Linked DNA regions of Xenopus tropicalis. The protein of the gene in region 1 interacts with the protein of each later gene in a pairwise test. Links are inferred from orthologs where the notes say so. Each region holds a gene or a part of one and is shown in the gene's direction. Other genes may lie near its edges.

The links. The genes of interacting proteins can lie anywhere in the genome.
Region 2: the proteins of sdcbp (region 1) and klhl2 interact in binary tests that used the Homo sapiens proteins (3 or more experiments, as listed by UniProt). The link is inferred for Xenopus tropicalis from reciprocal best matches to the Homo sapiens genes SDCBP and KLHL2.
Region 3: the proteins of sdcbp (region 1) and hoxa1 interact in binary tests that used the Homo sapiens proteins (3 or more experiments, as listed by UniProt). The two-hybrid records come from large-scale screens. The link is inferred for Xenopus tropicalis from reciprocal best matches to the Homo sapiens genes SDCBP and HOXA1.

What each region holds. Positions count from the first base shown.
Region 1 is NC_030682.2:116,370,680-116,374,434, forward strand, and holds the start of sdcbp (syntenin-1), read left to right. Parts: upstream 1-1,108; 5' UTR 1,109-1,211; intron 1,212-3,755. UniProt on the Homo sapiens protein: Multifunctional adapter protein involved in diverse array of functions including trafficking of transmembrane proteins, neuro and immunomodulation, exosome biogenesis, and tumorigenesis.
Region 2 is NC_030677.2:51,361,952-51,365,706, reverse strand, and holds the start of klhl2 (kelch-like protein 2), read left to right. Parts: upstream 1-1,136; 5' UTR 1,137-1,439; coding exon 1,440-1,513; intron 1,514-3,755. UniProt on the Homo sapiens protein: Substrate-specific adapter of a BCR (BTB-CUL3-RBX1) E3 ubiquitin ligase complex that mediates the ubiquitination of target proteins, such as NPTXR, WNK1, WNK3 and WNK4, leading most often to their proteasomal degradation.
Region 3 is NC_030682.2:42,135,360-42,138,929, reverse strand, and holds hoxa1 (homeobox protein Hox-A1), read left to right. Parts: upstream 1-890; 5' UTR 891-932; coding exon 933-1,548; intron 1,549-1,873; coding exon 1,874-2,229; 3' UTR 2,230-3,035; downstream 3,036-3,570. UniProt on the Homo sapiens protein: Sequence-specific transcription factor. Regulates multiple developmental processes including brainstem, inner and outer ear, abducens nerve and cardiovascular development and morphogenesis as well as cognition and behavior.

The sequences.
Region 1 (3,755 bases):
ACCTTTCCCCTGCCCAGTCTGCCCATTTCCCTGACCCTTGCAACACCCTCAAATGTCACTTCCCGCCCACCAACCCAAATGCTAGTACTAGCCACAGAAAAAGGTAGCAACCCTTATCCATGATAGCTTTGCCACCTTTGAAGAGTTATTTTAATGGCAGGAGCGGAGCTATGAGAGAGCAGGGTGGGCACAAAGGAGTGGGATGTGACATAAAGGGAAAGGGTTATGGCGCAAGAGGGTAGTCAGGCTGAACTGGAAGGCCATTTTGTAAGTAGAGCTAGTCTCTTTGGAAGCTGCAAGGGCTGATGGGAGGCAGGCCTGGGGTGGATGGAATAGTTATCATAAATTTACAGACAAGTATGTTGCCAGTAAATTTGTTATGGGCCCCAGGCTTGTATATAGGGGCTAGGTATAGGAGCTGGGACAGAGAGAAGCTGCACTGCATGTTGGTTAGTGTGGGAGGCACATCAGCCCTGTGTCAGTCCTGTTATTATTAGAATGCGTGTGAGGGGTAGGGCTCCCACTTTTTCTGGGAAAACACCAGCTTTTCTATATTTTTTTGTTTTCCCTATTAATTATATATTTTTTACTAGCCAGCCTGCAACCCTAGTGATGGACATTCATTCCCCCTTTACTATAAACATTTACAAAGAGCCAACACACTCTGCAGTGCTGTATAGCAGAATGGTATAAAACATACAAATTACATATCAATAAAAACCCAGAAGAAAAAGGGGCCGGGCCCGGCACAATAAATTTCCCTTTACAATCTTGGGGGGGCGGGGTCGCACTTTTTCCCGGCTAGGTAGGGGATAGCTCCTAACAAATGACTGTGTTCTCTGTGTTTAACTCATGAAAACAAGAATGGAGGAAATGGGAATATTAAAATAGCAACACCCCACCCCGGAGTCTTCAACTTCCCGTTACCCTTGGCAACAGTCACGGGGCCGACTTTTCGGAAAATGACGTCACCCGCCTTGAACCCCGCCCACCCCTCCTTCCTGCTCCCGCCTTAGCCCCGCCCACCCCTCCTCCCTGTGCTCTCCCCTGCTCTGCCCGAGTGTGCGACTGCCTTTGTCTTCCGTCAGCGCCATCTCCGTGCCGTGACGTCAGTGCTGTGAAGAGACGGGTCGGGAGAAGGCAGCTGTGGGGAGGACTAGTTAGCAACTAACGGGAAGGGCTTCCACTTCGAGTTATTCTCCTGCCGGCAGGTAAGTGTCCCCCTTACAGCTTCTCTTCACAGAAACATTATTTTGGGCTGTCCCACCAGCAGCAAGGCAGAGGGTGGTTATTATCCTCCCTTAGGTCCATACAACTCAGTTTTGTTCTCCCCCCCCCCCCCATCGCTGTTGTGCTTCCCAGGCAGGTGTGCCCATTCAGTGTCCCCCAGGTGTGACTGGAGCCGGAGCCCCCCGGCAGCTCATTGGGCGGTAGTACGGGCCGTGGGTGGAACTATTAAGGAAGGGGGGGGGGGGGGGGGGGGTGCGACTCCTGAGGCCGGGTGGGCCGCTCATAAACACTTTCACTGAATGTTTGTGAAGGGCTTATTCTTATTTAATTTTAGGGGGTCCCCAATATCAATTTTCCTGTGGGCCCAATGATGTCTGGTTATGCCAGTGATTACGCCCCATTAGGGGACCAGCTCCAGTTGGGGCATAAAGGGCGTATTTATTGGGGCCCCATGTTCATTTGAGGGTCTTAAAAGCTGCCATAAAGGGGGAATAGAAGATATAGACATTTTTTGAGAAACACAGGAGGGTAGTTGGTTGATATGACTAAGTAATACAAATCCACCTTTTCTGTCTCACTCACTTTGGCCTCTTTATTCACTAACTTTGCCATTCTATTTCTTACATACGCTTGCCCAGCGCTCTCCTGTGTGGCTATTTCTAATGGTGGGACCATCCATAGAGCAATAGGTGCCATGGCATTGGCCAGAGGTCAAGTGAGGTGATTTGGATTCCTTTAAAATCTTGTTTCCGCTGAGCCATTTGCCTATTTTGAGTCCCCAATACCCAGAAGGGATTTGGGAGGACTAAGCCATGTCATGTGACCGAACGGCATTCTTAAACACCAGATTATCTGGTATAGACATTAATGTAGGGTTAAAAAAATGTGTTTTAGGCCTTTGGTTTCACTAACATCGTCTTTAAATAAGGTGAGAGACAGGAGGAAGTGTGAGAGACCTTGGGCACAGTTGTGTAGATGAGTTTAGGGAAGGTGCTACAGACACCTCTAATGGAGGAAGATCACAAGTTAAAGTGACTTTTTTCTGTGACATTTTTACCGTTGACCGTGTAAGGTGGCAGCCTAAAGAATTACATGAATGTGGCCATGCCAAAAGTACTATTTCTATTAATAAGCACCTACATCAGTGGAATTTACAAACTGGTAATTTGCAGGCTGGGTTTCCTGCCTGCTGAACGTCGTTGGTTAGCACACTTTATTTAATGTGAGTCAGGATCAGTATTGTGGGTGCATGCTTCTGGTCACGTGATCATTTGGTTGGGGGTGTGTGTAGGGGAAACATTATGTGGCACTATATATCTGTGAATGCAGGTTTGTGTATGTATATGTCCATCTGAAGGCCACATTCTGCATCTGTAGCTTTTTTCAGTGGTTTGGTTCGGATTCTAAGGGCTCTGGCACACAGGGAGATTAGTCGCCCGCAACAAATCTCCTGTGTCTCGGGCGACTAATCTCCCCGAAATGCCATCCCACCGGCGAAAATGTAAATCGACATTTATATTTACTTGTGTCTCTCATAATCAGCACATATAATCAACTGGTCAGTGCTAATTACAGGTGACGCATATAATTAAATCTAGCCATTAACAACTCTAAATTTACTTACTCTGTTTTTATTATTATTATTTTATGAGCCACCAGAACTTGAATCTATCTCTGTTGTAGACACAGGACATTTACCATACAGCAGCTGTGTTGGACACAGCTTAGTTTAGCTGTCCCAGGCGTCATCTTATAGGGACACGCTAGTCATTTAGTCACATTATGGTCGTGGCCATACTTTTCCAAGAAAATGTTGCACAGCACTGATCTAGGAGAAGATTTAGGCATTTTCCCTAAATCCCACCTTGGCCTTCAGGTTCACCCCCCAGTCACTGCTCTTTATCTACGGGGACAGTCTTAAAGGAGAAGTAAAAACTAAGTAAGCTTTATCAGAAAGGTCTATGTAAATACAGCCATAAGTACTCACAGAAACACTGCACTGACTTCTCTGAAAAAAGATTAGTTGTGTCTGTAATTCCTGTGCCAGAGACACGCAGCTTTCAGCTCTCTGCTCTCTCCTTCTCCCCCCTCCCTCAAGAATGTTAAGAACTCACAACCCCCCTTAGGAATGTGGATCTGAGCCAATCAGCAGGAAGCTGACTCATAGTCTTACTAACTGAGCATGTTCAGTGGTCTCGGTGTCTGTGCAGGAGTGAGGCATTATGGGAACTTTCTTTACACAGCTTAGGGTTTTTTCTTCCTGTTTGGCTTCTGATCATCTGAACAGGAGAAATGTGGGGAGACTTAAGGGCATTATTGAGACAACTGAAGGTATGCCTGCAGCTTGAGATTAACTCTTTACTAGCCTTTCCTTCTCCTTTAAATTTTGAAAACTGCTGATAAAGATTTGCAGACCGCTTTGTAAACCTAAGTAGTGCTGGGCGGTATACCGGTTTAACCGGTATACCGGTTTTTGAAAAAAAAACGATATGATTTTTGAACATACCGCTATACCGGTATGCGCG
Region 2 (3,755 bases), on another chromosome or scaffold:
AGCAGGTGGGATGCCATTGCGGGGAGATTAGTCTCACTTAACAACGGAGATTTGTCACAGTGCGACCCTTGTGCCACTTCCCTAAGGTTTCTGGTGGGCCATGGCATGCCAGTCCAACACTGTATATGGCTAGGCCACTGCATCATGAAATGCTGGGTCCACTGATACATTGTTGGGGCCACTGTACTTTGTACACAAAGGAGTCACAAACCTCTGTGACCTTTCTTTCTGGGAACATTTGTAAAGTAAATTAAGTCTGGTTTCAAACATGGTTGTCATCTCTGCTGAAACTGGCATGGGAATTAAAAGAGGGCATTGAACTGCAAAAATGTTTGCTACACCGTCAAAATGTGTAACTCTCCACACAGTGCATAACATTTTATAGATTGTAAGCTCTACGGGGCAGGGATCTCCATCCTCTTGTGTCTTTGACTCTTAACTTATTGCAACTGTAACTGTATCTTGTATTTATTTGTATTTATTGTTATACTTTGTATTTATCTATTATCTTATTAACCCCGTTTGTATTAATGTATTCTACTGTACAGCACTGCGTACATAAGTAGCGCTTTATAAATAAAAATATACATACATACATACATACATACATACATGTCGATTGGCTTCCTTAGGGCAGGAGCATAAGTACTGAGGAAACAGACCCTACCACTGCTGAGGTCCCCAGGAGCCAGGGGCATGGGTTACCATACTTCTTGTAAATTCATCAACACATTTAGAAAATCCAGCAAGAAAGCCTGCCCTGATTTCAGTTGAATTGAAATGCAATAAGTGCAGCCCCACATTAACTGATAACACAGATTTAATACATCTTTTACAACTTAACAAATACAAATACAACTTAACAATTCATGTTAAGTTCCCAGAGTGTATTTTTTCTGCGGGACCTAGTCATTTATAGTTACGCTACTGAGAATGTGGCGTGTCTTAAAAATGTGTGAGGAGCGCTTGCGAATCGCTCAGTATCCCAAAGCCAACTTGACCGCTGAAGAGCCTGAAATCTGAGGGATCTGCACGATCTGTAGCGAATACATGTGTGGAGTCTTCCACCAGCAGAGGGAGACACCTGTTTTTTATAGCACCACCCTAATTGGCTGACGGAGCACAGGCTCAGGATGTTGATAAGCCTGTAGTATAAGGTAACCAGTAGTTCATACAGAGTGGAGGAGCGGCAAAGGAAGGGTTGGGATTGAGTAGTTTCCCCCTCTGCTGGATTAAGCGAGTACCCAAGAGCCGCGCCGCTACATTAAGGACAAGTGAAACCAAAGAGCTGGAAAGGGAAGCTGTATAAAACCGACACAATAGGCTTCGCTTTCCGGATTGGTAGCGCTGTCGGGAGTCCTCGGATGACCATGGATTGATAAGGGAACCGGGGTTGCTGTGCTCTGTTGCTGCGGGCTCCCCGCTTCACTGGCCGTGGAATGGTGCTAACAGCGCCCCGCAGTAGCGCATCCCCAGCCAACAGCATGGAGACATCGTCGCCTGTCACAACAGTGTAAGAGAAGCATGTGTGCTAGCAGCAGTATTGCTCTCCTGCAGCCTTGCCTGCCTCACTACTGCGGCTCCCCCAGTCTGCCCAGATACTGCGCAGAACTAGGCGCATTTACCGCACCAGCTGCGCCTTCTGCGCATATATGGGGGAATGGATATGGGGCTGCCAGCGAGGGTGGCACTGCACTTTGGCATTTCTTTACTGTGGCACCTATGGGGGCTTGATAGGGTCACAGGTTTCTTGGTACAGGGATGCTTAGCTATCTACAACTTCATATGTACTAAAGTCACTTGCTAAAGATCACCTGTTTGCCCCAGTACAGGTTGTATATACCTAAGCAGGGCTTTTCTGTCCTGGCTGGGCCTGCATACATTATAAAGCCTGAGAGCAGCTATTGACCTTGCAAGAACCCCAGTGACAGCTGTAAATGATTCTGGTTTTCCTATGGGATGTAGGCCACACTACAGTTTATTAAAGGAACAGTAATACCAAAAAATAAAAATGTTTTTAAGTAATAATAATACAATGCACTGTTGCCCTGCACTGGTAAAATTTGCTTCAGAAACACTTCTATAGTTTATATAAATAAGCTGCTGTGTAGCCATGGGGGCAGCCATTCAAGCTGGAAAAAGGAGAAAAGGCACAGGTTACATATCAGATAACAGATAAAACACCATTGTATTGTACAGAACTTATCTGTTATCTGCTATGTAACCTGTGCCTTTTCTCTTTTAAATGGCTGCCCCCATGGCTACACAGCAGCTTTGTTTATATAAACTATAGTAATGTTTCTAAAGCAAATGCACCAGTGCAGGGCAACAGTACATTATACTGTAGTTCCTTTTATACACTTTGATTTTTTGGTGTTACTGTTCCTTTAAGCATAAGTGATCTCACTGATCCTATAAGGGCACAGGCAAAGAACATGTTAAAGGAACAGTAACACCAAAAAATGAAAGAGCTTTAAAGAAATTAAAATATAATGCACTGTTGCCCTGCACTGGTAAAACTGGTGTGTTTGCTACAGTAACACTACTATAATTTATATAATAAGCTGCTGTGTAGCCATGGGGGCAGCCATTCAAGCTGGAAAAAAGGAGAAAAGGCACAGGTTACAAAGCAGATAACAGATAAGTTCTGTAGAATACAATAGTGTTTTATCTGTTATCTGCTATGTGCCTGTGCCTTTTCTCCTTTGAATGGCTGCCTCCATGGCTACATAGCAGCTTATTTATATAAATTATAGTAGACTTTCTGAAGTAAACACACAACTTTTACCAGTGCAGGGCAGCAGCACATTATATTTTAGTTACTTTTATACACTTTCATTTTTTGGTGTTACTGTTCCTTTAATAGAAGCCTTATTTGTTTATCAATAGAGGATACAGTGCAATTTGCCATGTGGGTGATACCCAAGAGCCACGATTTGGTTACCCTTTAGTATTTGGTACCATCTCATATGTTAGATCACCCATAAATCAGGTTAAAGAGTGGAGCTTGAGGGATAAATAGTTTATTTTCTCTGGGTGCAAGGTACTAAAGTATGAGTTACCGATTGTGGTAGATGCTGAATGGATAACTACATTTTAAATTTTTTAAAGTTGTTGCGGTGATCTGAAAGCTGTTTCTTATTGAATATTAGACTGCAAATGGTATGATGTATTAGCATGAAAACACTTAATTTCCTTAATTAATATGTCCGATTGGGCAACCCTAGGGTAAAGACACTACTACTACTACTAGTAGGAGCTACTTTTTCAATGCTACTAAACTCCAGAATATACTCTGCCATAGACAATACTGAGAATTGCCAATGCTAAAACACATGTAGAGGCAATTATCAGTATATGATCAGCACTATCTATTTTAGTAGCTGCTACTAGTAGTTCCTTGTGTCTTCACCCTTAGGATGAAGACACACAGAGCTACTTAGTAGCAGCTACTTGTCATGGCTGCTAAGGGGAGTGGCTCACATTATCGCTGGCAACTAATCTCCCTGCAATGCCACCCCACCGGTAAGAATGGAAATTGCCGGTGGGATGGCATACGCGTCGCTACGATTTCCCGAAGTTGCCTCAAAAGTCGTGCAACTTTGAGAAATCATAGTGGCACGTATGCCATCTCACCGGCGATTTCCATTCTTGCCGGTGGGATGGCATTGCAGGGAGATTGGTGGGATGGCATTGCGGGGAGATTAGTCGCCCGCAAAAATGTGTGCCACTAAAGATTTGTTGCGGGGCAACTA
Region 3 (3,570 bases), about 74 Mb from region 1:
ACACACAAAGCTGAACCCTACCTATGTGCATGTTTGTTCATTTTTGTGTACAGTGCAATTGTCCGATATTGTGTACTATCTATCTATCTATCATCATCTATCTACCTATCTGTAATTATCTATCTCTATCTAGTGTCTGCCTGTCTGCCTCTCTATCTACAAGATACACTTATCCAAAACAGGAATGCATGGACACACACAAAGCTGAACTACAGGTATCTGCATATTTGTTCCTATTCCGTGTACACTGCAATTGTCCTATATTGTCTTACATACACTGTCTATCTATCTATCTATCTATCTATCTATCTATCTATCTATCTATATCTATCTATCTATCATCTATCTATCTATCTATCTATCTATCTATCTATCTATCTATCTATCTATCTATATATCATCTATCTATCTATCTATCTATCTATCTATCTATCATCTATCATCTATCTAAAACAGAAATGCTTAGACTCACACCCACTACACACTACAGTGTCTCTCACTAATACCCATACCTGTGTATTTTTAGACACCCACTGACACACAGTTGTATCCCCAAATCCCCCTGACCAATCACTATTTGCTCCTTACCGGGTTAGGGGGTTCTTCGGGTGCCCCCGGCTCTGACATCTGCACTGTGGCGGTTCCCGGGTAGAGAGGACTGTGCGACTTGGCCGCTGCTCTCTCAGTGCACTGTACTCCCAGCCGTGTGCGTCACCTGGATAGAGCAGCGCCTGGAATTTAAATGCAAGTGTAGGGCCGATCCATCACCAGTTAGTGTAGGCAAACTTTATCTGTCGCTGCTGCCATTGGCTGGCCTCTCCACGTGACCTGCCCTCACTGTACATTCATATGATTTTGTGCTGGACCTATGGAGGAAGTGAGAAAGTTGGCACGGCCACGCCAGGCTCTGTGTCACAGTCACCTAGTGATAGATGGACTATGCGAGGATGAGCTCCTTCCTAGAGTACCCGGGCTTAATGAGCGGCGACCTCGGGACCTGCTCCTCCAGATCCTTCCACCCCGACCATGGAATTACAACTTTCCAGTCGTGCGCAGTCAGTGCTAATAACTGCAACAGCGATGATCGTTTTGTGGTCGGACGAGGGGTGCAGATAAGTTCTCACCCCCATCACCACCACCACCAAGCCGGTGCCTTTCAGCACCACAACAACCTGGGGATGTCTTATACTCATACCAGCTGTGGCTCCAACTATGGCATGCAGAACTTCAGCCCCGGCTACTCTCATTTCCCCATCAATCAAGAGGCAGATGTGAGCGCAGGGTTCCCCCAATCTGTCTACTCCGGCAACATCGCTTCGTCTGTGGTCCAGCATCACCAACACCAGTCTTACATCGAAGGATCCGCTCACTATATCCACCATTCCTACGGACCTGACCAGAACATTTCTGTGGCCAATTACAATAACAATGTATCCAGCCTACATATCAGCCAGAGAGAAGTTTGCCGGTCTCCTTCCAGCGAAACATCCCCGGGCCCTGCACAGACCTTTGACTGGATGAAAGTAAAGAGAAACCCACCCAAAACAGGTAATGTCTACCCTTTCTACACCCACTTACTCTATTAAGGCGCCCTTGTTTTATCAAGTAAATCTTTATCTATCATCTATCTATCTATCTATCTATCTATCTATCTATCTATCTATCTATCTATCATCATGATCATGATCTATTATTCTTTATGTTGATGTTGCCCTATAAGTTAGTGGGTGGGGGTACAAATGGAATGTAACAGTTTGTGACTGTATAATACAGTCAGTAACGGTAGAAAAGGCACCCCCATAACACTGGGGTTGTTGGCTGCTACATTTCTCACATTCCATATGGATTATAACCCTGACTTTTTTTATTTCAGGTAAAGCTGGGGAATATGGCTTTGCCGGCCAGCCCAACACAGCCAGGACCAACTTCACCACCAAACAGCTGACAGAACTAGAGAAAGAATTTCATTTCAACAAGTACTTGACCAGGGCCCGCAGGGTAGAAATTGCTGCTGCTCTACAGCTCAATGAGACCCAAGTAAAAATCTGGTTCCAGAACAGGAGGATGAAACAGAAAAAAAGGGAAAAAGAAGGACTTCTCCCCATCTCCCCATCAGCCAGTACAGGAAGCGATGAAAAGTCAGAGGAGCTGTCAGAAAAGTCCAATTCTTCACCCTGTGCTCCATCTCCTGCCTCCTCTACTTCAGATCATCTCAGTACTTCCGGTTAGAAGGCTGAAGGCATTGCCTGTGCTCGATTGATCAACCAAAGCCTTAGCAGTGATTTTAGTTGTCTATTGTTTATGCCAGAATTTCAGCTGGTACCATTAAGATTATATTTTTGCACAAGTTTGAAAAGTCATTTTCGTTTTGAGCTAAAATACCCAAGTTAACTAAAACCTGTTTTGGCATGTGTCACACTAACTGTCTCTTGCTATGAGCTGCTATGGACAATCCATATGAGGGACATTCCTGCTGGGACTTTTTACTGGGAAATCACTGGTTGCAGATCCTCAAGGACTGATGCACTACTAATAGAGAAAAAGTTTACACAAGTTAAAAGACTTCTATTTAATTTAAAGTTCTATGGTGTCTGTATGTGAAAAGAGTGTACATATATTGTTCCAGAGATTTATCTTTCAAGTGTTTTTGTAGAAATTCTAATAATTATCAGATGGTGGAGTGGTTGGAAGAATCTCAAAGTTTTCTAGCACAGGAAAAGACAGCAGTGTTTGCTGACCGCATACCTCAGTAATCTCTCACATTTACTAGGTGTTTACAGTCATGATTTTAGGTGAATATTGTGTGTTTTGTTTGTCAGGAAATCGTGCTAGATCGTCCAGTATCCAGGGTATTTATCCAAACAAAACCACTCGTTCTCTGATCCAAGAGAAACGCTTCTAAATCGCCTTTAAGTGAATGTCTTGTAAGACCAAATGTGTGTATAATTTGTGATTCCATCGCGAACCCTTGCATGACACCGAATGTAAACTGAGTTTTATCAGTTGGAATTTGTCAATAAAACATTTGTATGCTACCTCTGACTAAACTAGTGTGCATTTTATTGGGCAGCATGTAAAAGGTTAAAGAATTTCCATCAAAACCAGGAGGTCTTGTAGATGAGGGTCCCAGGGCAAAAAAGTTGTAATTCATAATCACAACAAACGCAAAAATTGCGTCTCCCGGCAGAGCGAATTTAACTCTTTGCGCCAACGTTTCGTTTTTATTCGTTTTGCGCCATTTTTATGGGTTCTCCACTATCTCCTGTCTAACAACTGTAGAAACACCTTGGGTCAAGCTCAGCTGAACTTTTCACCCCAAACTCACTACTGACATGTGTAAACACTGGTGCCTGACAAAAATGCCAGACGCTTCTTCAACCAGTCTTTCCTCACCTCCTCCCCTATAAACACAAAGCTTCACATCTTTGGGAGGCTCGAGGGATATATTTTCAGTTTCTCATCCCACCCCCTCAATAATAAGAACATTATTCTGAAATCTATCTAATCCCCTGTCGTAAAGTACTTATTAAATTATTACTGTACTTGTTAGTGCATTGCGATGTGACGCTG